Linked DNA regions of Caenorhabditis elegans. The protein of the gene in region 1 interacts with the protein of each later gene in a pairwise test. Each region holds a gene or a part of one and is shown on either strand. Other genes may lie near its edges.

Region 1 (3,709 bases):
AGTTTTCAGACAATTTTGAGTCTAATAAAGCAAAAAAAAATTCGACTACATCATCTTTAATGATAAATTTAAAATTTTAAAACTAAATACCGTACAAATTGTAAATAAATGAATTCCACATCAACGGATTATTTGTTCGCTTTGAAATCAGCTTATTAATTGTGTGCACCGCCCATACATACTCGTTATTCTGAAAAAAAAAACATTTAGAAATTTAAATAGATGGAAGAATTTCCCGAACCTCCGCGAGTTGAGCACCGATAGCTTTTCCCATGGAAGTTTCGCAGATGATGTCAAGAGTGCAAAGGGTGATGACGGAGAGAACATCAACTTCTTCACTGAAATAAAACGTTCGAAAGAGTTATGTAAGAATTAAAATTCTCACTCTGCTACACCGAGGCAACACAATTTCTGAATCAAAATCTTCGATTGCTCGTTAAAAATCGGCAAGAAATCCTTGAGAATATCATAATGGAAGGTTGGTGTCAATAGTTTTCGCTTTGGACGCCATTGTTCCTTTTGGCTCGTCAAAATACTGATTCCAAGCCATGGCTCAAGCAAAACGTATGCGAACCCTTTGTTCAGATGTTTCGTGGAAGAGAAAATAGGTTCAACAAGATCGGCAGAGTAGAGCATAAGACATGGGAATGGACCAATCCAGAGAAGACACATCCGTGGATCTGGATACAAATATCCCATTCCAATCACTTGATTCATGAATCCCTCTGGATCGGGCTTTGTGATGAGTCCGTGACCGACGATTGGGTATGATCGTGGTTGGTTGAGGTGCTGAAAGTTTATTCAATTTATCTTTAAATGAATTTTGCAATCAAACCTTCAAAACTTGACGCATTCTCAAGTGTTTGTAGATAAGCCAAGCAATCACCGTCGCCGAAGCGAGAAGTACAGCGGGGATGATAACCCCCATTGTAGAATCTTCTGAAATAATTTATTTGAGCGAAAAAAACGAGCAAAAAGCGTTGAAAACTCGAGGAAAAGCCTGAAAATCGCAACAAAACAAACGTTTTTTGATTGAAAATTCAAATTTCTCCCACGCTTTGTCGAGACCTATGTGAAAATTGTTATGCGCCTTTAAAGAGTACGGTAACCCAGAAAAGACGAATTTTTTTGAGAATTATTCGTTTCAGCTTTTTTTAAGACGAGCACAAAGCATCAAAAGCGTTTTAAAAATAAGAAAAACGTTTGTTAAATTTTTTCGATGCTGAAAATATTAAAAAATCGCAATAAAAAGAACGAATTATAAGTAAAAAGTCAAATTTAACTTGCGTCGTGGTGATAGCCATGTGAAAATCTTCAGGCGCCGCCTTTAAAGAGTACGGTAGGCTTGAGAAAGTTCTCGAACGAATTTTTGTTGTTTTCTGATATTTAAATCTTGATTTAATTATTAAAAAGTTCCAATCACTGTTAATTTTTCATTAAAAAAAGTGAATAAAACAAATCCAAAAGTATTTATTTTTGAATGAATATTGTAATTTTTATGAATGATCTCCCCGCGAAAAATCAGCGCAACAATTTCATTATTTTAGGCCCAACAAAATTTTTTGATCGTGTGAATTCTTCTTCTTTGCTGATGTATTAAGCTGATGCTCAGAGAGATTTAATGAATCTTTTTCATAGCTTTATCGGTAAATTATTCTTAATCTGCAAATCACTTGAGCACATTGTTTTCTTCTTTTCCATTAATTTTTTACACCAAAATTTTTCAGAATGTCAGCTCCATCTCGCACCGTTCTTCGCGAATTGACAGCGACCAGATACGTGGTCAACTACAACGAAGAAGATCACCTGGAAACCGCTCGAGCCGGTTGCTCTGCCCTCCCACCACAACCCAACATCAATCATGATGTAATTATCGAAGGGCATGGAGAAGACGTGGAGCTCGTCGACGATCAGAACTACCGTTCCCTGCATCGTATCGATGAGACTCCAAAGCTCGTCGACAAGAAGCCGAGCAAGACAGTCATCCGCGATGAAGCTGTCAAAGTGCTCAGAAGCATTCAAACAATGCCGATTGAAAGTCTTCGTCTCAAGCGCTACGACTTCTTCTCGCAAAGATGGTTCAACACGACCAGAGAATCGGAGAAAGCGCTTGTCGAGCACGTGCTCCTTCATCCCAATCAGCGACCACACTATTTCGCCGCTCAGTGCCGCATGCTGTTGGTCGAGGATATCTCCAGTTTGATTCTGGTTAATTTCTTGAGAATATTTTTCCTGAAAGAATTAAATTTAATCTCAGACTTCCTTCCTGGCCGAGCCGAAAGAGACGGGTCAAAATGTGGTTCGATTCGCGATCCAGGCAACGACTGAAATGCCATTCCATCTATTGTTTGCTATGCTCGAACAACTGGAGATGGAAAACGAAGGATTCCAGATGACAGACAGCTTTGTGGTGGCAACGTTGAACCGATCACAGGGCAGAGTACGAGAAACAGTTTTCTGTTTCATGCCAATAACTTTTTCAGACTACCACTCGTCACCTGCGAACCACAAACTGCCGGGAATACGGAAATCTCGAGCCAGGACTCGATTCACAAGGCCGACTGATGGCCTCGACTGCATCAATCACGTGTTCTATCCGAGGAAAGCGCCACGTGGAAACGAGGATCGTGTACAATAACAACTCGAACGCCAGGAATACTTCAGGGAGAAGTAGAGTGAGTTGAGCAGCAATAAAATCTCGATTTTCAATTTATGAAATTTTCAGTACATCGAATTGGAGCAAACAGTGAAGTGCAAGAACCGACGTGTGCTGATTGTCGAAGATCCAGTCGAAATCCACGAATTTGAGATCGAAAAGGACATGATCCCGCTGGGAAAGGGAATTGTGCCAGTCGAGGACCTGATCACGTTCCTCGAGACATTCAAACTGGATGAAGAGGACGAGTAACTCCAGACATATGTCCTATAATTTGTAATGTACATAATTCTGTATTATTGTATCAGTGGTTCTTGTTGAATATATCAACTAACTTTCCCCTTTATTTTATTTTCCTTTTTTGTTTTGGTCGTTTCCTGTATATAGATTCTCCGCTGCCCCAAACTATTTTGCTTATGTTTAACATGTATATTGCTTGAATTAACATTGCCAGAATATGAACTGGTTGATTTTGCAATCTTTTTAACGATGAGATGAATTATATATTACATTCAGTAGTTGTCTTTATAATATTTGGAATTTAAATTACTTTACTCCAAAAAACAACTTCTTTTTACTTTACTCCAAAAAACAACTTCTTCCGGTTACTCATATCCGTTTCTCCACACTCACCTTTGATCGTTTTCCAACAACTTTTCCTCCTCTCTAAATTTTGTTCGAGTTCTCACTCTCACCACGTGCGGGGCTCCAAATAACAGCTGCTGCCTCTGAAATGTCATCGCGAGGCTAAAGATTTCCATTTCTCACAAAATTTGCCGTTTCGGCATATAATCTGTGCTCTGTGTTGGCTGGCCGACGATGATTGAATTGGCTCATTGGCTCATTTATGCGTACTTGTGAGTTTTAAAAATGGTTTGCCGGTTTGCCAATTTGCCGGAAATTTGCCGGTTTTCCAATTTTTCGGAACTTTTCAATCCCGGCAATTTTCCGGAATTTTTCCGGTTTGCCAATTTGCCAAAGCTTTTCAATTCCTGCAGTTTGCCGGAATTTTGCCGTTTTGCCAATTTGCCAGAACTATTCAATTCCGGCAGT
Region 2 (7,749 bases), on another chromosome or scaffold:
TTCTTGATTTTTTATAGTCGAAATGCTTAAGAAATATGTTTAAAAATAGTGAACCTTTTCTTTTTGTTTTTAGGCAGTTTTTAGGCGGTTTTGGTCAAAAATTAACAAAATTCTGAAGATTTTAGCTTTTTTGCAAAATTTTCCGACAGATTTGCTCCGTTTTCAGCTGTTTTCAGGATTTGCTTACAAAACTTGGTTTCGTACAGTTTTTTCTTGATTAAAAATTTAATTTCGGCCGAAATTCGTGGTTTTTTTACAAATTTTCCGAAAGATTGCATATTTTTCGGCTCATCTCTCTCTTGATTCTTCACACAACAAACCTTTGATATTATCAATATATTGCCTCGACATTGGCTTATTCCCATGCCCATTCGTGTCGATTCCGAGTAAATGCAAGAAAAATATGCTTTTCTGTTCCCGCATTTTATCGTTCAATGCTTCATCGGTTTTCGCAGTTTCCAGGAAGTTCTGGAAGCTTTAACGTTTTATTAAGATAGTTGGTGTAGTCAAATTTTTTTCATTGTTTTATTAGACCCAAAATTGTCTGAAAACACCGAATTTCATAATGAAACTTCTTGAAAACTTCTAAAAAAAAAACAGTTATGACGGTTCAAAAAATCGGCTAAAATTAGTTAAAATTTGAAATTTGACCGACTTGTCACTTGTCATTTGACCGATCGACTTTAAAATACCTAAATGAAGTTGAAAACGCAAAATAATTACATTTTAAACTCAAAATTTTACAGTGATTTCAAAAAAATTAGTTTCCAGCCGCTTGACAAGTCGGTCAAATTTCAAATTTCAACTAATTTTAGCCGATTTTTTGAGCCGTCATAACTTTTTTTTTGAGAAGTTTTCAAGAAGTTTCATTATGAAACTCGGTCTTTTCAGACAATTTTGAGTCTTGTCAAGCGATAAAAAAATTCGACTACACCACGTTTAATTAAATTCCTATACCTCAAAATGCTCAAAAACCCATTTATCCAAATTAGAAGCATCTTTCGACGCGAAATCCTCCTCGTCTGCAGAATATGAGAATGATTCAGCGTTGGGAAGATCATCGAAAAGGTTCACAATATCCGGACTTCCCCACATCCAACTATACGACGATCTATTGAATACACTATCGAATTGAACTGGATTCTTTTTCCATCCTTTTGCAACTGCACTTATATCTTCAGTAATTCCAGCGAATATTGCCACGTGGCCCGGCCGGGATTCCGTTGGGATATGAGAACGGGATAGTCCATAGATTCCCTGAATAATAAATTAATAAATTAAATGTTTTATTATCGATTTTCCAATAACCTTTCTCTCATTCATAATTGAATGTAAATATGGAGATTTGTCGGGATATTTATTAAATGTGTCATATCGTAAGCCGTCTGTAATTCGATTTTATTGAAAAATAACCATAAAACCTTGAATGTAATCGAAAAACCTGCTGAAATTATAAAAATCCGTTTTGCAGGAGCCTCCTGACTATTTATAAATTGTGGAGGAATCCCATGAACCAGGGGGCTTGTGTAGTAGACATCGAAAATTGAATAAATAAGGACGAGGTGCACAGTGATGCTGGCGATTAGAAACTTCCACGACATTAGGGGATATTTATCCCCGTATTAATATAAATTATTTCTTCTTCTTCTCAAATGTTTAAAGTGGGGAAAGAGCAAGTGTAAAGTACACGTTGTTGCTCGATTGCTCTGCGCCGGCCCGGGGACGAGGGGACGAGGTGTCGGATTCTAGGCCATTTATATTTTTATTTAATTCTCGCTGATTAATACTAACGTTTACTATTTAAAAAATCAATTTTTCTCGAATTTTTCGCTTGAATAATCAAATGATAGGATATCCAATCGTATTCCGATGCTGTGAATGCACTGTCGAAGAGCGTAAGTGCCAGAAATATCGATTTTTACACAATTTTTTCTTTTTTAGAAACTATGGAGCACTTGGAAAGTCACATTTGGAGCCGGCATTTGCAAGCTTTTCCGTTTAAATGTGCATATTGTGATTTTCCGGCACTCAGTGCGATTAGTTTAATGGATCATTTCGCTCAGAATCATTCGGATGTGGCTGTAAGTTTAAAAATAACTTAAAACTGGAGTTTTCCACGAAATTTAATTTTTTTTTTGCTTTCAGATCGTAGAATTCAAGCGAAACCTGGAGGATGAGAAGCGTTTCCGGAAAATGGTTGCCGATTCGATTGCAATTGAAATCGATGAAACTTCGCAACAAGATTCGAGCACACAGATGACAGTTCTACAGCCGATGGTTCGAAAATTTGCAGAATTTGAATTGATTTCCGAATAAAATCGATTTTTTTTAAATTTTCAGATGCAGCAAGGCACCGCACAAATGATATTATTACCGCCGGAGGGTAGCCAATATGATGTTAGTTTCAAAAAAATAAATTTAAACTTTTTTTTTTATTTTCTAGTTTTTCAGGAAATTGTGGATCACCGAGGGCCTGATGAAGACGATTTTGGAGTTCTGGATGATGATGAGAATATAGAAGGTTCATGGAAAATCGATAAATTCAGAAAATACAGGAAAAAATATAGGAAAAATCAAAAATTTGCTCGAAAAATCAATTTTTAAAATGTCATTTTCAGCTGGAACCAATGATTTTTGTATGAAAATTGCTTCCAAAAATACTTCCAAAAATATTTTTCACTTTCTTAACCAAAAAACCCACAGAAACCGGAAAAATTGAAAAAAAAAATCTCCAAAAATACTGCTTGAACAGTTTTTAAATTTTTTTAAACAAAAAAAACCACAGAAAACAGAAAATTGAACAAAAAAAAATCAAAAGAAAACTTTTCCAAAAAATTTTTAAAATATTTTTTTTTAACGGTTAACGGTTTTTAAATTTTTTTAACAAAAAAAACGCAGAAACCGACAAAAAATTTTTTAAAAAAACCAAAAAAAATTTTTTTTTGTAATTTTGAAAAACAACCTTTGGAAATTCTTTTCAAATAATATTTTAAAAATCAAAAAAAAACCAAAGAAATAGAAAAAAATTTGAAAAAAGAGCTTTCAAAAATCTTTTTTAAAATATTTTCTTAAACTAAAAAAACGTTTAAGAACCGAAAACCAATAGCAACTTCAAAAATTAACTACAATAAATCAACTTTTAAAATAAAAATGTAAAAAATGTAAAAATAAACAAAAAAAACATTTTTTTTTAACTTTTTTGAGCCAAAAAAAAAATTTTTTAACTGACAAAAAATTTACTTTCAAATAATTTTAAAAACCAATTTTTATCCAAAAATTCACCAGAACAAATTGCAGAACTAATTGACGACGATGATGATGACGATTATATTGATGAGCTCGGAAATCCGGTATTTATTGGAGCTCACGACGATTCTGATTACATTTTGGAAGATGATCTATCACCACAAGGACCAATTCGAAGTAGTAATAACTATGTACGACTGAATTTCAAATTTATTTTAAATATCAAAATTTTCCTTTTTTCCAGCATTTAAAATATATAAGAACTCGAAGAATGGACAAACTCATTGATAATGTGGTGGTCAACGCGACGCAACGGGATTCTCCGGAACAAGTAAAAATTTTTTAAATTTAAATATTTTGAAATTTCAAATTTAAAAAAATCCTAATTTTCAGGAGGATTGTTCCACGAGCGGAGTCGCATTTGCAGATGGTCAGACGAATAGTGGAAAAATGGGAAGATTCAGTTGTGATCGGTGTTCTAGGACATTTAAAGTATGGGGAAAATTTAGAAGAAAAAAACAATTTTTTTGGAAATTTCATAAAAACAGTGATTAAGTGTGATTTTTTTCGAATTTTTTTTTGAATATTACAGCTTTTCGAATTTTCAGAAAATTGGAAGATTTGTTGAAAATTACAAAAATATCACATTTCTGAATATTTCTAAAAGCCTAAGTGTTATGTATAATTTTCACAATTTTCAAAAATTGAAAATTCATGGTGCCGAAAAATTCTAATATTTTAAAAATTTGCAGATTTTCAAATCTTCAGAAAACTACAAAAATTTAATATTTCTAAAAATTCTGAAAGCCGAAAAATTCCAAAAATGTTGAATTTTTAATATTTTCGAATTTTTAAAAATATTCAAAAATTAAATGTTTCCGAAAAATTCTAAAAGCCGAAAAATTTTTCGAAAATTTTCTGAAAATTCAGGAAGCCAAAAAAGTCTAACATTTTCAAAGATTTCAGTTTACCTAATTTTTAGAAAATTGAAAATTACAAAAAATATCGCATTTCTGAATATTTCTAAAAGCCTAAGAATTTTCAAAATTTTCAGAATATTGAAAATTCGAAAACCGAAATATTCTAACATTTTCGAAATTTAAGCTTTAAAAATCTTCAGAAAACTACAAAAATTTTGAAAATTCCAAAAATGTAATATTTCTAAAAATTCTGAAAGCCGAAAAATTCCAAAAATGTTGAATTTTCAATATTTTCGAATTTTCAGTCAGTATAAATTTTTGAAATTGTTTAAAAATTTAATATTTCCGAAAATATTCAAATTTTCAGAAAATTAAAAAAAAATCTTTTTTTTTGTTGAAAATTCGGAAAATGTTCAGTTTACCAAATTTTTAAAAAAATTGGAAATGTTGAATTTTTAAACATTCCAAAAATTTAATATTTCTGAAAAATCTGAAATCCGAAAAATTCCAAAAATTTTGAATTTTTCCGCTTTTCGAATTTGAATTTTCAAAGAATTAAAAATGTTTGTAATTTTCTGAATTTTCGAAAAGCGAAAAAATCCAATAAGTTTGAATTATTGAATATTGCAAAAAATAATAAAAATAAAAATTTGCAAATTTTCTGAAAATTACAAAAAAATCTGTTTTTTGTTGAAAATTCGAAAAAAATCTAAAATTATTGGATTTTTTCCAGTTTTCAATTTTCAGAAAATTACAAAAAATTCAAGAAATCAAAAATTCTAATAAATTTGCATTTTTAAATATTACAAAAATTTAATATTTCCGAAAATTCTAAAAACCGAAAAATTCGAAAATGTCAGAAATAAGGACATTAATTTGAGTTTTCTAAAGCCAAAAAAAATTGTTAAACTGCAAAATTGAGGTTTTCTTTTCAAAAAAATGTTGCAAAACATTTATTTTTTATTTTGAAAATTTGAAAAGCCGAAAAATATCAAAAATTTTGAATTTTCAGCTTTTCAAATTTTTTAGAAAATTACAAAAATTTAAAATATTTTAATTTTTGAATCTTCCGAATATTCAATATTAAAAAAATCCGAAAAACCTGCAAAATCGAAATTTCTTTTCAAAAACAAAACAAATAATGTTTCAGTACCAATCCAAACTGGATGAACATCGTCGAACACATCTCGGAGTAAAACCATTTCAATGTCACTACTGTACCCGCCAATTCTCTCAACGTGGAGCTCTTAAAACACACATGAGATTACATACAGGAGAACGTCCATTTGTATGTCAATGGGAATGTGGAAAACAATTTGCTTCTTCATCTGCAAAAAGTCATCATGAAAAGACACATAGTGGAGAGCGACCGTATATTTGTAATGTTTGTGGAAAAAGTTTCACGAAGAATTCACATGTTATTCGGCATCTTAAGGTTGGGATTTTGTAGTACTCGTGGACAAGAAATTGAAACAAAATATCGAAAATAAAATTTCCAGATTTTTTTTTTGAAATCTAATAATCGGAAAAAATTACAGAACAGGAAGAGATTCGATTTTGATAAATTCCCAACAAAAAAATCTGAAAACGAAATTTTTTTTTGAAAATTAATTTTTTTAAATTGTAACATTACAGAATCCTCTTTTTTCCTCTTTTTTCCATAAGATTTATCAAAAAATACTGGTTTTTTTTTTAAAAAAAAACGTCGAAAAATAACAATTTTCGATTTTTTAAACGTTTTTTTTTTGCGAAAAAATGACTGTAAATTTAAATTTTGATGGAAAAAATGGAAAAAAATATAGAGAAAATAAAGAAATTGTCGATTTTTATGAGAAAATGTATAGAAATTACTGAAAAATTGAATATTTCCGGCAAAAAAAAAACAGAAAAACGAAAATTTTTGATATTCGCTTTTTTTTTGAAAATCAAAATATTTATGGAGAAAAGGAGGATTTTTTGGAAAAAAAATGGAAAAATAAAAATTTTCGATTTTTTAACGTTTTTATTTCTGAGAAACAAATGACTGAAATTTTGAATTTTGATCGAATATAGAAAAAAAAAACTAACATTGTAAGAGAACATACGGCGATATATAGATTTTCAAAAAAAAGACGATTTTTATAAGAAAAAGTATAGAAATTACTGAAAAATTGAATTTTTCCGGAATTTTTTTTCGCTTTTTTTTTGAAAATCGAAAAATTTATAGAAAAAAAAGAGGTTTATCCAAAATTTGAAAATTTGAATTCTTTACAATTTTTTTGTCGAAAATCGAAAAGCCGACCCTATTTATGCTCCTGCTGAATATCAATGTGAAAAAATTCAAAAAAATTTCCCTGATTTTATATTAATTTTTTGAAATCCGAAAGTCCTAATTTTAAATTAAAACGATAAATTTTGCCGCCAGAGACTAAGCCACGCCCATGATAACCGTGCCGCAGGTGTGGATTTACAAGATAATATTTTTAATCTATTTTTATTTAATTTTCACACCAATTTTCCCGCTTTTTCGTTGTTCACATTGAAATGCTGTGACTTTCTTTAATTGATGGCTTTTTATTAATGAAAACAACTAAAATTACATGAAATTTTATATTTTAGCAGAAGTTCGGAATTTCATTTGTTTTAATTAATAAAAAGCCATAAATTATGGGAAATCACAAGAATTTCAATCTAAAACTACGAAAAATCGGGACAACTGGTATGAAAATTAGAAAAAATGGATGAAAAATATTAATCTCTCGTAAATCCACACCTGCGGCACGGTTATCATGGGCGTGGCTTAGTCTCTGGCGGCAAAATTTGTCGTTTGAATTTAAAATTAGGAGTTTCAGAATTTAAAAAATTAATATAAATCAGGGAATTTTTTTTTGAATTTTTTTGCATTGATATTCGGTATCAGGAGCATAAATAGGGTATGTAGAAAAATTTTGAAAAAAAATTCAAATTTTTGACAGAAATTGGCTTATTTTTTTCGAACTTTCAAAAAAATGTCTGAAAATCATATTTCAAAAATGATTTTAAATTTAAAAGATACCCTTTTTTCCAGAACATTCACAATCGAGAACTGGCTCAACAGGATGCAATGCTACGTGGCGACGATGTCCAATCGACCGATGAATCTTTAAATATTGTAAATATTTTTAAATATAAGATTATTTTTATTTTTTCTGAAATTCTCAACAAAAAAAATCAGAATTTTATTTTCAGGGCTCCGCGCGAAGTCAGATGTCCGATATAGAGCCACGTGGCAAAGAGATTGGTGTAGTGCATGATATTGTTGGTAAGTTTTTGAAGGAATTGGGAATATTTTAGAAAAATTGAAAAAATTGAATTTGGAGTATTAGAAAAATTTCAATGTTTTTGAAATAATGATGGAAAAGTTTTTTAAAAAATTATTCGGGAAAAGTTGTGAAAAAAACCAAAAAATTTAAATATATTTATTTTTAGAAATATAATATATTATTTTTTTAGGATTAGGGATTTCATGTTAGTCATCCAATTTATAATTGACATTTAAAAACAAAATTTTTGGGGTAAATTGAAAAAAAAAATTGTGTTTTAAATTCGAAAATCGAGATCCCGT
Region 3 (4,662 bases), on another chromosome or scaffold:
AGCAAAAGTTTTCGTTTTTCGGTTTTTCTATAAAAAAAACCGAAGCCCGGCAGGACTGGACGTTCACAGGATATTGCTCTTTTTCCCCCAACCCAAGTAGATCAAAACCCCTAATGTCCCTTTAACCTATTCCATACAAAATTAGGTCCAATCTCATAAAATTCCTTATTCATCACGTCAATTCCACCACTCAATCACCGTCTTCTTTATTTGAGAGCGGTTCCACCTCATTTCAGACGAAGAGGGCAGAGAAGACAATATATATATATATATATATATATAAAGAAATGAACACATAACATAGTACGACTACTGGAAAAATGAAACACAATTGTAGATTCAGGTTGCAGCAGCAGCAGCAGAAGAATAGGCATGGAAATGGCCAATTAGTACGGGATGGACCCCGATAGTGTGAGGGTGGACGGGGGAGACGCAGAGAAAACCAGTCATCGGGGGATACTGGGATTACCTTTTGCCGTGAAAAAAAGAGGATTGTACAGGCAACCGGGGGCAATCCCATTGTTATCCACCTAATCCTATTTGCCACCATTAAAATGCGCTTCGTGTTCCGAAGTGGGGGGGGGGGGGGGGGAATTCGAAACTTTTGAAACTTTTTAGAGTGGCCGATGATGGAGAAAATTCGGCCACCAATTTCAGGATTTTTATATGTTTTAGAACATTCAAAAAAATTGCTGAAACTGCCAAAAAATTTAATTTTATAAAAATTGATTTTTTTTCACACTTATTTATTTTTAAATTACCGAAATTTCAAAAAATTCCATTTTTTCAAACTTCATTACTTTCTAAATTTTTAGGATTTTTTAAACGAATTTTTAAAACAATACTCTGGAATTATTTATTTTTTTGGAATTTTTTTTTAATTTTTTTTTTTTATTTTCAAAAATTTTTCCGGTTTTTCAATTTTCACAGAATTTTTTTTTTAATTTTTAAATACATTAAACTTTTTCACGTGGTGTCCGAGTGTCTCATTTCGGTTTGATCTACATATTTCTACAAAAAAAGCGGGAGAAGAGACGCGAAGAGTTCTCAACTGATTTTGCATGGTTAAGAATGTGCTGACGTCACATTTTTTGGGCGAAAAATTCCCGCATTTTTGTAGATCAAGCCGTAATGGGGGGCAGCCTGGCACCACCACTTGTTTTTGAATTTCCAACACAATTTTAAAATATTTTGAAATAAATCAAAATCGATTCGGAATTTTTTTTTTTTGAATTAAAAAATTTGTTTCAAATAATCGATATCCTATTTTTCAATTCTCAGTACATTTTTAGCATACAAACGATAAAATTTAAGAAAAAAAAGTCAAAAACCAACCATTTCAGTCTTGAAAGTGGCTCCTCGGACCTTCGCTCCGTCATATTCCTGGCTCCGCCCACTTTCCACGTGCCAAATGCAACCGATCTGAAAGTTTAAAATTTTTTGGAACTATTTTTCAACTTTTAAGATGTTTTCTTTGGCTTCAAAATAGTACATTTTACATGTTTTTCTGCAAATTTCCCCATGCCGCAACCCTAAAAAACTAACCCTTTTGCCTTCATAAAACATATTGGATTGCGAAATACTCCAAACATGCCAACGTGGATTCGGAAAACTGTTTTTGTCGGAAAGTATCAGAGTTGGAAATGAGGAAAATACGTTAGAATATTATTATTTTGATTTTTCCAACAAAAAATATTTTTAAAAAAATCAGTTTTAAGAAAACTTGAAACGTTGGATTTCACGTCGAGAAATGAAAGAATTATAGGCATTTTATATAATAACAAAAAAGAAAATTAGTTTCGAGAACTGTCATGCCATTTGGGTGGCTAAATGGAAATTGGGAGAAATCGGGAGAGAACCTGAATTGGCAGTTTGCCTCCAACTGTATGTCTATAAGAAGGTATATGTCTACAAATTGTCTACCTACCTGCCTACAAGGTGACCTACGCCTACCTACAAGGCGGCCTGCGCCTACACATATTCCTGATTATATTCAGTGTTAGTTGAACAGATATTTGAAAAATAATATTTAATTGGAAAGTTGAGAAATGTGCAAAAACTAGGCGGTAGGTAGGAAGGCATAGGTAGGCCTGCGACATACGCCTACCTACAAGGCGGCTTGTACCTACACCTTGCCTACACTCTTGCCTACTTACAAATCATTCCTGATTATATTTAGTGTTAGTTGAACAGGTATTTAAACAAAACATTTAATTGGAAAGTTTACGAATGTTCAGAAACTAGGTGGTAGGCAGGCAGGCATGAACAGGCAGTATATACCTCATAGGCAGGCCTACACTCGTCCCTACTTCCTGGTCCCTTTTTTCTCACTGTTTCAGTGTTGAACATTCAAAAAATTACTTCAACTGAAAGGCAGGCATGAGGTAGGCACGTAGGCATGTAACAAAAAATTTTAAAGTTAGAATATTATTGTCATTAAACAAGTAATAGTTCTATATAATATCTTTTTCAATTTAAAAATTGTGCGATTTTTCGAAATATTGTTGATTTTGCCCGATTTGAGCACCATTACTACTTATACTACTAATATCTCAGCTCATTTTGAAAATATCAATAAACTTTTAATTACAAAAATATAGACAATTGTTAAATAAATCTTTTCTTAGTTGACAATTTTTTGATAAAACCAAAACCAACCGAGATATGAACCGGCAAAGTTAGGCTAATCGAACATATTTTCTACCTGAAAAAAAACTACCCAATTTCAAACCAGCAAATTTCCAAAATGGTTAGGAATATTAAAAAGCTGCCAACTGACGTATTTTTCAGAAATTTTTGGGCAACATTTTTAGTTGACAATTTTTTGTGAAAATTTGGAACAACCGAGATATCAGCCGGTAAAATTGAGCTAATTTTTATAAATTTTTAAAAATATTTAAATTTTGCCCAATTCTCACCTGTACTGCCGACGAGCATTGAGCGTTGCCGTCGAGCCCATCATATAGGCGTCAGGCATTTTGTGTGAGTCCCAGGCGTGTGTTTGTAGACGTCAATAGTTCAAATAATTCTGAAAATCATCATTGCAGAAAATTTTAAAAAAAACGAAGCGTATTGGGAGAAAAGGTGAATAGGGTAAAACGAGAGAGTGAATGAATAGAATGGAACGTAAATATATGAGAATAAGAAGAATGGGGCGAGAGAAAGTGTATGTATGAAGAAGCTGAAAGAGGTCACAATATTATGTAGTAGTAGTAGTACTATACCAGAATTTTTGGGTGGTGGCCGAAAAAACCAAAACTCGGCCACCATTTCAAATAGAGTCGGGGTAGGAAAATTTCAAAAATCCTATTATTCTAATAAGCTTGCTAATTTTTTCTGGCTTTTTTTTAAATAGAAATATAGAAAAATATCGGCTGGAGTTTAAATTTTCTGAGAAAAATTTTTGGCGGGAATTTTAATTTTCTGATAAAACCAATTTTGGCGGAAAATTCAAACGACTGGTTTATCTATATTTTTATATAAATTTTAAACAATAAAAATCGACTTAACAATGAGAAAAAGGCGAAGAAAGTGAGGGAAAAATAAATTTTTCAAAAAAAAAGTAAACTTGCGGGAAGAATCATAACTCGGGTCATTTTTTAGATATACAATTTTTTCAATCACAAATACAAAATACATATGAGTCCAAAATTGCATGCATTTTAGTACTCCTCATCTCAAAATCTAACTATAATAGTGGCGGTGGTCATCTCTTTCAAATATCACCCACCCCACTCGAAAGCCCTGGTAATGTGAGAAGCGCGCGAAATTCGAATCTCGCCAATCTGTGATGAGCTGAGACTATATAGTGATGGTGTGGCCGAGTTTTTCAAAAAGGGAGCAGTTTTGTATGTCAAATTTAGTAAAAAATTCCCGAAAACTAGGAACACGGCGGCGGAAGCAGTAAATGATATCGGAAAACGAACAAATAGTTCGTCTTCATCATCAATATGTGTGTGTGTGTGGTGGTGGCAAAATGACATATGTCAACATGGAAAGTGCTTGTTCTTCTCATAAAACTATCGAGACAAATGGCACATGGCGGTCGTGGTGCGGGTCGGCGATAAAAGATGTACCCTCAGGAAATTTGAGCGGAATTTATGCGACAAAGCTTGATAGAACAAGACGCATATGAAAATGAAAAAGTTAATAAAGCAGCCGACACCTCACGGGCGGTAGCGGGAGGTAGCGGGCGGTAGCGGGCGGTAGCGGGCGGTAGCGGGCGGTAGCGGGCGGTAGCGGGCGGTAGCGGGCGGTAGCGGGCGGTAGCGGGCGGTAGCGGGCGGTAGCGGGCGGTAGCGGGCGGTAGCGGGCGGTAGCGGGCGGTAGCGGGCGGTAGCGGGCGGTAGCGGGCGGTAGCGGGCGGTAGCGGTGCTGTAGCAGGGCGGTAGCGGTGCTGTAGCAGGCCGGTAGCGGGCATCAGCAGGCGGTGGCGGGCGGTAGCGGAGTTTTTGTAAAAGCCAGTAAAGTGTCCGCTGCAAATCGTGTTTTCCACGCTGCGGCCGACATCTCACGGGTACAGGGATATCCATAATTTGAACCACCTATTTCTCAGTAACCATGGGAGCTATCAAAAAATTGCCAACTAGCAAAATATTGCCTAAAAAATTGGAAAATTGGTTTCAATTTGCCAGTTAACAAGTTTTTCATAATTTTCAAAAC
Region 4 (3,859 bases), on another chromosome or scaffold:
TATTCTTTCATGTCTACATTATCCCAACTCCGGAGTTAGCTCAAAATTTCCTTTGATCTCCTGAACTTTGAAGCTGAAGCCACAGACACATTCTATTTTTGGTTTTCATTTTCATATTTTGCTCTGACTACAAATTTACGTCTTTGTTTTTCTGGTTTTTCCGGTTGCTTGGCAACAATTGCAATCGCTTATTTGTGTTCAATAACATAAAGTCATACAAACGGAAATCGAAGAAAAATTAATGAAGAAATGTAAAATTGAATATTTATTTTTTATAATTGAATCAACCAGGAGCTTTGTCGAATGTTGATTAATTTTGGCAAGCAGCCTTTTGGATAAATGATTCATTAACTTTAAAATATAAACGAAAAAAACTGTTCCTACGTTGAGAGTACTCCGCTTTGAAAATTATGAAACTACAGTAGTTTGTGACTAGGTACATCTTGTGACATACTGTTGCACAACATTGCATCAAGAGTGGACTATATAAACTGAACTCATTTGAAGAAAATCTTTCACATTTTGTATTCTCAGTCTTCAAATGGATCATATGATTTTCTAACAAGTCGCCCTTTCGACGTCCTGTCAATGCAATGTGTGATCAAAAAGGTTAGTCAGAAATACATTTTATTGAACAGGGTAAACATTGGAAAAAAGCGAAGATTACTCAGAAAACTCCGCTTATCAATCTTCAATTCTTATCAAATGACGTTATGAAGAATTGAAGCAAAAGTCCAATGTGCGATTGTTTAAATGGAATGTATATGTTCTATGAAGTTGTTATTATACCTATGTGTTAAATTCAAATATCGAAAATAAGCAAATGTTAATAAATTTGCTCATAGAACGCACAAGTAATGAGTTCACACCATATCTTGTCTGTATATAAAAATTCACAATGTATTTGAATAAATTATGTCGTACTTGATAAGTAGTGACGTCGGTTGTGATATAAATGCTTGATTAATTTTTGTTTGAATCACAATAATAGTTATTTTTCATACATTTCTCTGGGACGGTACGGGAACAATTTTTTACATGTACTTCAGGTATTTTTGAGAAGCTAACAATTTTCCATATCTAATTGGAAATCAATCATCATCAATTGTGACCTCCTGCAATCCAGTTTTTGTTCAATTAGAGATGCTTCATGAATTTTGTCAATGTGAATCAGAATACTTTCATACTATTTATACTTTTGTACCGATGATCACCATCTGAGTAACCCAACGATGGGTCAGAATGTGTGTTTCAGTTCCTTGATCTTTTGGTTGTGGTCTGAATCAACACATATTCCTCTCCACACTTCGTTCACATTGTTGGTCGGCTGTGTCGGTCGGCGCACGCTCACTGTCCTATTCAAACACACTCTGCCATCCCTAATCCTCTTGCGACACACAGTGTCTTGTCGACCCCCGTCGTCTGTCTCCGACTGGGTGACATCATGTGAAATCTTGCCAAATGTTGTGCAATAGTGGGTGGAGCGTCCGCTCTAACGTGGTTTTTGGGTTTTCTCTGCCTCATTCTTTCGTTTTGACAAATTGTCCATTGGTGACTTTTTGTTTTTTTTTTCTATTTTGCTTACGGGAATCGATTGTTTTGACATGCTTTTGCCTAAACGGTGGTATTTTTCAGCAAGGGACCAGTTTCAAGGTCCCACGACCGCCACCGTCCGCGGAGCAATCAAAACGTCCATCAGTTCGCTTTCATCGCCTTCTCCAGGTTTGTCATATACAAATAATAATTACCTTTTTAAATCATTATCTTATGACGATGACGTGGCGATCACCAATATAAAAAATCAATACAATTCAAATTAAAACGAATAAAATCGATAATTAATATATTTCAGAAAAGTTTTCCCCACCTAGCTAGAAGCTAGCTCGTTTGTCACTAGATTTCGACGGCCTTCCCGAAGATTTCTTTTCTCCACAATGTATCACGCAAAGACAACCACCGATTTTAACATGTTCAGTCAACAGTGTTGCTTCATGGACGAGGCCAAGTATGGAGCCGGTTAGTTTTTCATAATTGGACGAATATTTTATTTTTACAAATAATTGTTCAGCTATCGGCTCCACTAGCCGTCGGGTTTTCGGCTTGGCCTCCGTCGCCGCCACTTCCGCCGTTGGCCCACTCACCGCTCCAGGATGCAGTCCACGCCGACCACAACCATCGTCGGATCCTCAACTCTTGCAGAAACCTGCCGGATTGCCTGACGACTACAGTTCCTCAGCTTCACCAGATCAATTCTGCCGAGCAATCTCCACTACAGTTCACGCATCAACCAAATTGCGATTTAATTGTGGTTCTCGACGAGCAAACGACCTACACGACTACAATGACACGACGTTCCCTACCGAAAGCGGACCGTTATTTGAGCGGTTAGTTGGCGAATTTGAGCGAATTTGAATCATAATTTGAATAATAAAATTTTCAGAGCCCAACATGAGCACGCCACAAGCTTCCCACGGGAGCTTTGAATTTGATGTACCAGAGTACACATCCTTCGACTATGCATTCGATTTCCCACCGGTTCCAGAAGCCTTCCCACCAGCCGCCAATAGTTCCTCGGCTGCATCTCCAGATGCAGATTTTCTTGATCTGGATTCTCTCATGAGCTGTGATATCACATCTCTTGACGCCTACATTCATGATGATTCCATTGCCTCTCCTTCTAACGCTTCACACATTTCTCCTCCAGCGTCGGACATTGATCCAGTTGACGAGTTCTTTCCACAGCTTGTGCACAATAATAAAAGTAAGCTTAAGACAGTATCACACTAATTAGGAAAATCCACGTCATCGTCTGAACCCATTTATATATTCTTTAACTCAGCTCTTTGTTCAATTTAAACATTAAAAACCATTTCAGTTCAATCATCTTCCTCCTCAACAGTTGAAACGACAATAACACGTGGGCGCAAAACTTCATCGGTATCGTCCGATTCGTCATCGGACTACCGTCATAAACGGGATAAGAACAATCTAGCATCCCAAAAATCTCGTCAAAAGCGCCAAGCCAAAATTCGCGAATCAAAGGAGGAAAGAGAGCGTCTAGAGAAGCGAAAAGTTCAACTTCAAGCAATGGTTTTAACCTTGGAGACTCAAGTCGAGGACTACAAGCGATTGGTCATGATGTTTGTAAAGCGATAAATATATTAATCAGATCGCGTTTTTTTCTCATTTTATTGTGTGTGTACATAAATTCAAATTTAATTTTATTTTGTTCTCGTTTTTTTCCTCATTACTTATCCCTTATCCCTTATTCACCAACCTCATTTTATCTCATCTCATCTCAATAGCAAATAGTATTTATATTCCTTTTCATTAATCAAAATAAAGTAGAAAAATAGAAATAATTAATCATAATCATCAGGAATATTAAGGAAAGTTCCAATAGAGGGAAAGTGAATAGCACTAAACCCATCAGTACCTCCAACTCCAGCAGCTGGCACGGCCCAATGTGCACCATAAGCGATTTGGCCCTGGAGCCAATCCACGTTCACGGATTCCGGGTGATAATAGTATTTGTTAGCATGATCGCGATTATGTGGGTCATCTGGATTCGGCTCCCAGAGCCCTGGTTTAGTGAATGGTGATCTACTACGAGGGCGATGCAGGATTCCTCGAGAGTCGGTTAAAGAGTTGTATTGATCTAATGCATTGGAGAACACACTGTCCGAAAATACTGGAACTGCTGCACCACCTGTAGTTTTTTTCACGCGTGGAAGATTGGGAGCTGATTGATCGGCATCTTTTAGAACTTGATCTCTGAAAGAAGATTTGCGACTTGGTTAGAAATAAATATAACATTTTCATTATTTCTTAAAGCAATTTATAGAGTCTAACCTGTGAG

What was found.
Region 2: the proteins of memi-2 (region 1) and ztf-23 interact in a two-hybrid assay, tested with the Caenorhabditis elegans proteins (one large-scale study listed by BioGRID).
Region 3: the proteins of memi-2 (region 1) and ZK131.11 interact in a two-hybrid assay, tested with the Caenorhabditis elegans proteins (one large-scale study listed by BioGRID).
Region 4: the proteins of memi-2 (region 1) and zip-2 interact in a two-hybrid assay, tested with the Caenorhabditis elegans proteins (one large-scale study listed by BioGRID).

Annotation. Positions count from the first base shown.
Region 1 is NC_003282.8:13,398,525-13,402,233, reverse strand, and holds memi-2 (MEiosis-to-MItosis transition associated), read left to right. Parts: upstream 1-1,727; 5' UTR 1,728-1,728; coding exon 1,729-2,208; intron 2,209-2,257; coding exon 2,258-2,440; intron 2,441-2,483; coding exon 2,484-2,675; intron 2,676-2,725; coding exon 2,726-2,908; 3' UTR 2,909-3,166; downstream 3,167-3,709. Other genes in the region: cyp-31A5 (CYtochrome P450 family), read right to left, coding at 96-190, 242-338, 386-789, 836-928.
Region 2 is NC_003279.8:3,053,166-3,060,914, reverse strand, and holds the start of ztf-23 (C2H2-type domain-containing protein), read left to right. Parts: upstream 1-1,749; 5' UTR 1,750-1,843; coding exon 1,844-1,895; exon of another isoform or gene 1,896-1,941; coding exon 1,942-2,081; exon of another isoform or gene 2,082-2,145; coding exon 2,146-2,277; exon of another isoform or gene 2,278-2,340; coding exon 2,341-2,397; exon of another isoform or gene 2,398-2,451; coding exon 2,452-2,521; exon of another isoform or gene 2,522-3,221; intron 3,222-3,297; coding exon 3,298-3,437; intron 3,438-3,490; coding exon 3,491-3,577; intron 3,578-3,639; coding exon 3,640-3,738; intron 3,739-5,316; coding exon 5,317-5,601; intron 5,602-7,212; coding exon 7,213-7,296; intron 7,297-7,373; coding exon 7,374-7,446; intron 7,447-7,749. Other genes in the region: pign-1 (GPI ethanolamine phosphate transferase 1), read right to left, coding at 321-468, 958-1,257, 1,309-1,385, 1,442-1,601.
Region 3 is NC_003280.10:13,790,595-13,795,256, reverse strand, and holds the start of ZK131.11 (TORC_N domain-containing protein), read right to left. Parts: upstream 3,029-4,662; 5' UTR 2,978-3,028; coding exon 2,919-2,977; intron 1,423-2,918; coding exon 1,336-1,422; intron 1-1,335.
Region 4 is NC_003281.10:832,453-836,311, forward strand, and holds zip-2 (Transcription factor zip-2), read left to right. Parts: upstream 1-1,635; 5' UTR 1,636-1,722; intron 1,723-1,852; 5' UTR 1,853-2,007; coding exon 2,008-2,016; intron 2,017-2,068; coding exon 2,069-2,384; intron 2,385-2,440; coding exon 2,441-2,761; intron 2,762-2,875; coding exon 2,876-3,156; 3' UTR 3,157-3,359; downstream 3,360-3,859. Other genes in the region: dos-3 (Delta and OSM-11-like), read right to left, coding at 3,363-3,774. UniProt on the Caenorhabditis elegans protein: Transcription factor that binds to the promoter and the enhancer regions of target genes. May act together with the bZIP transcription factor, cebp-2. Involved in responding to mitochondrial damage.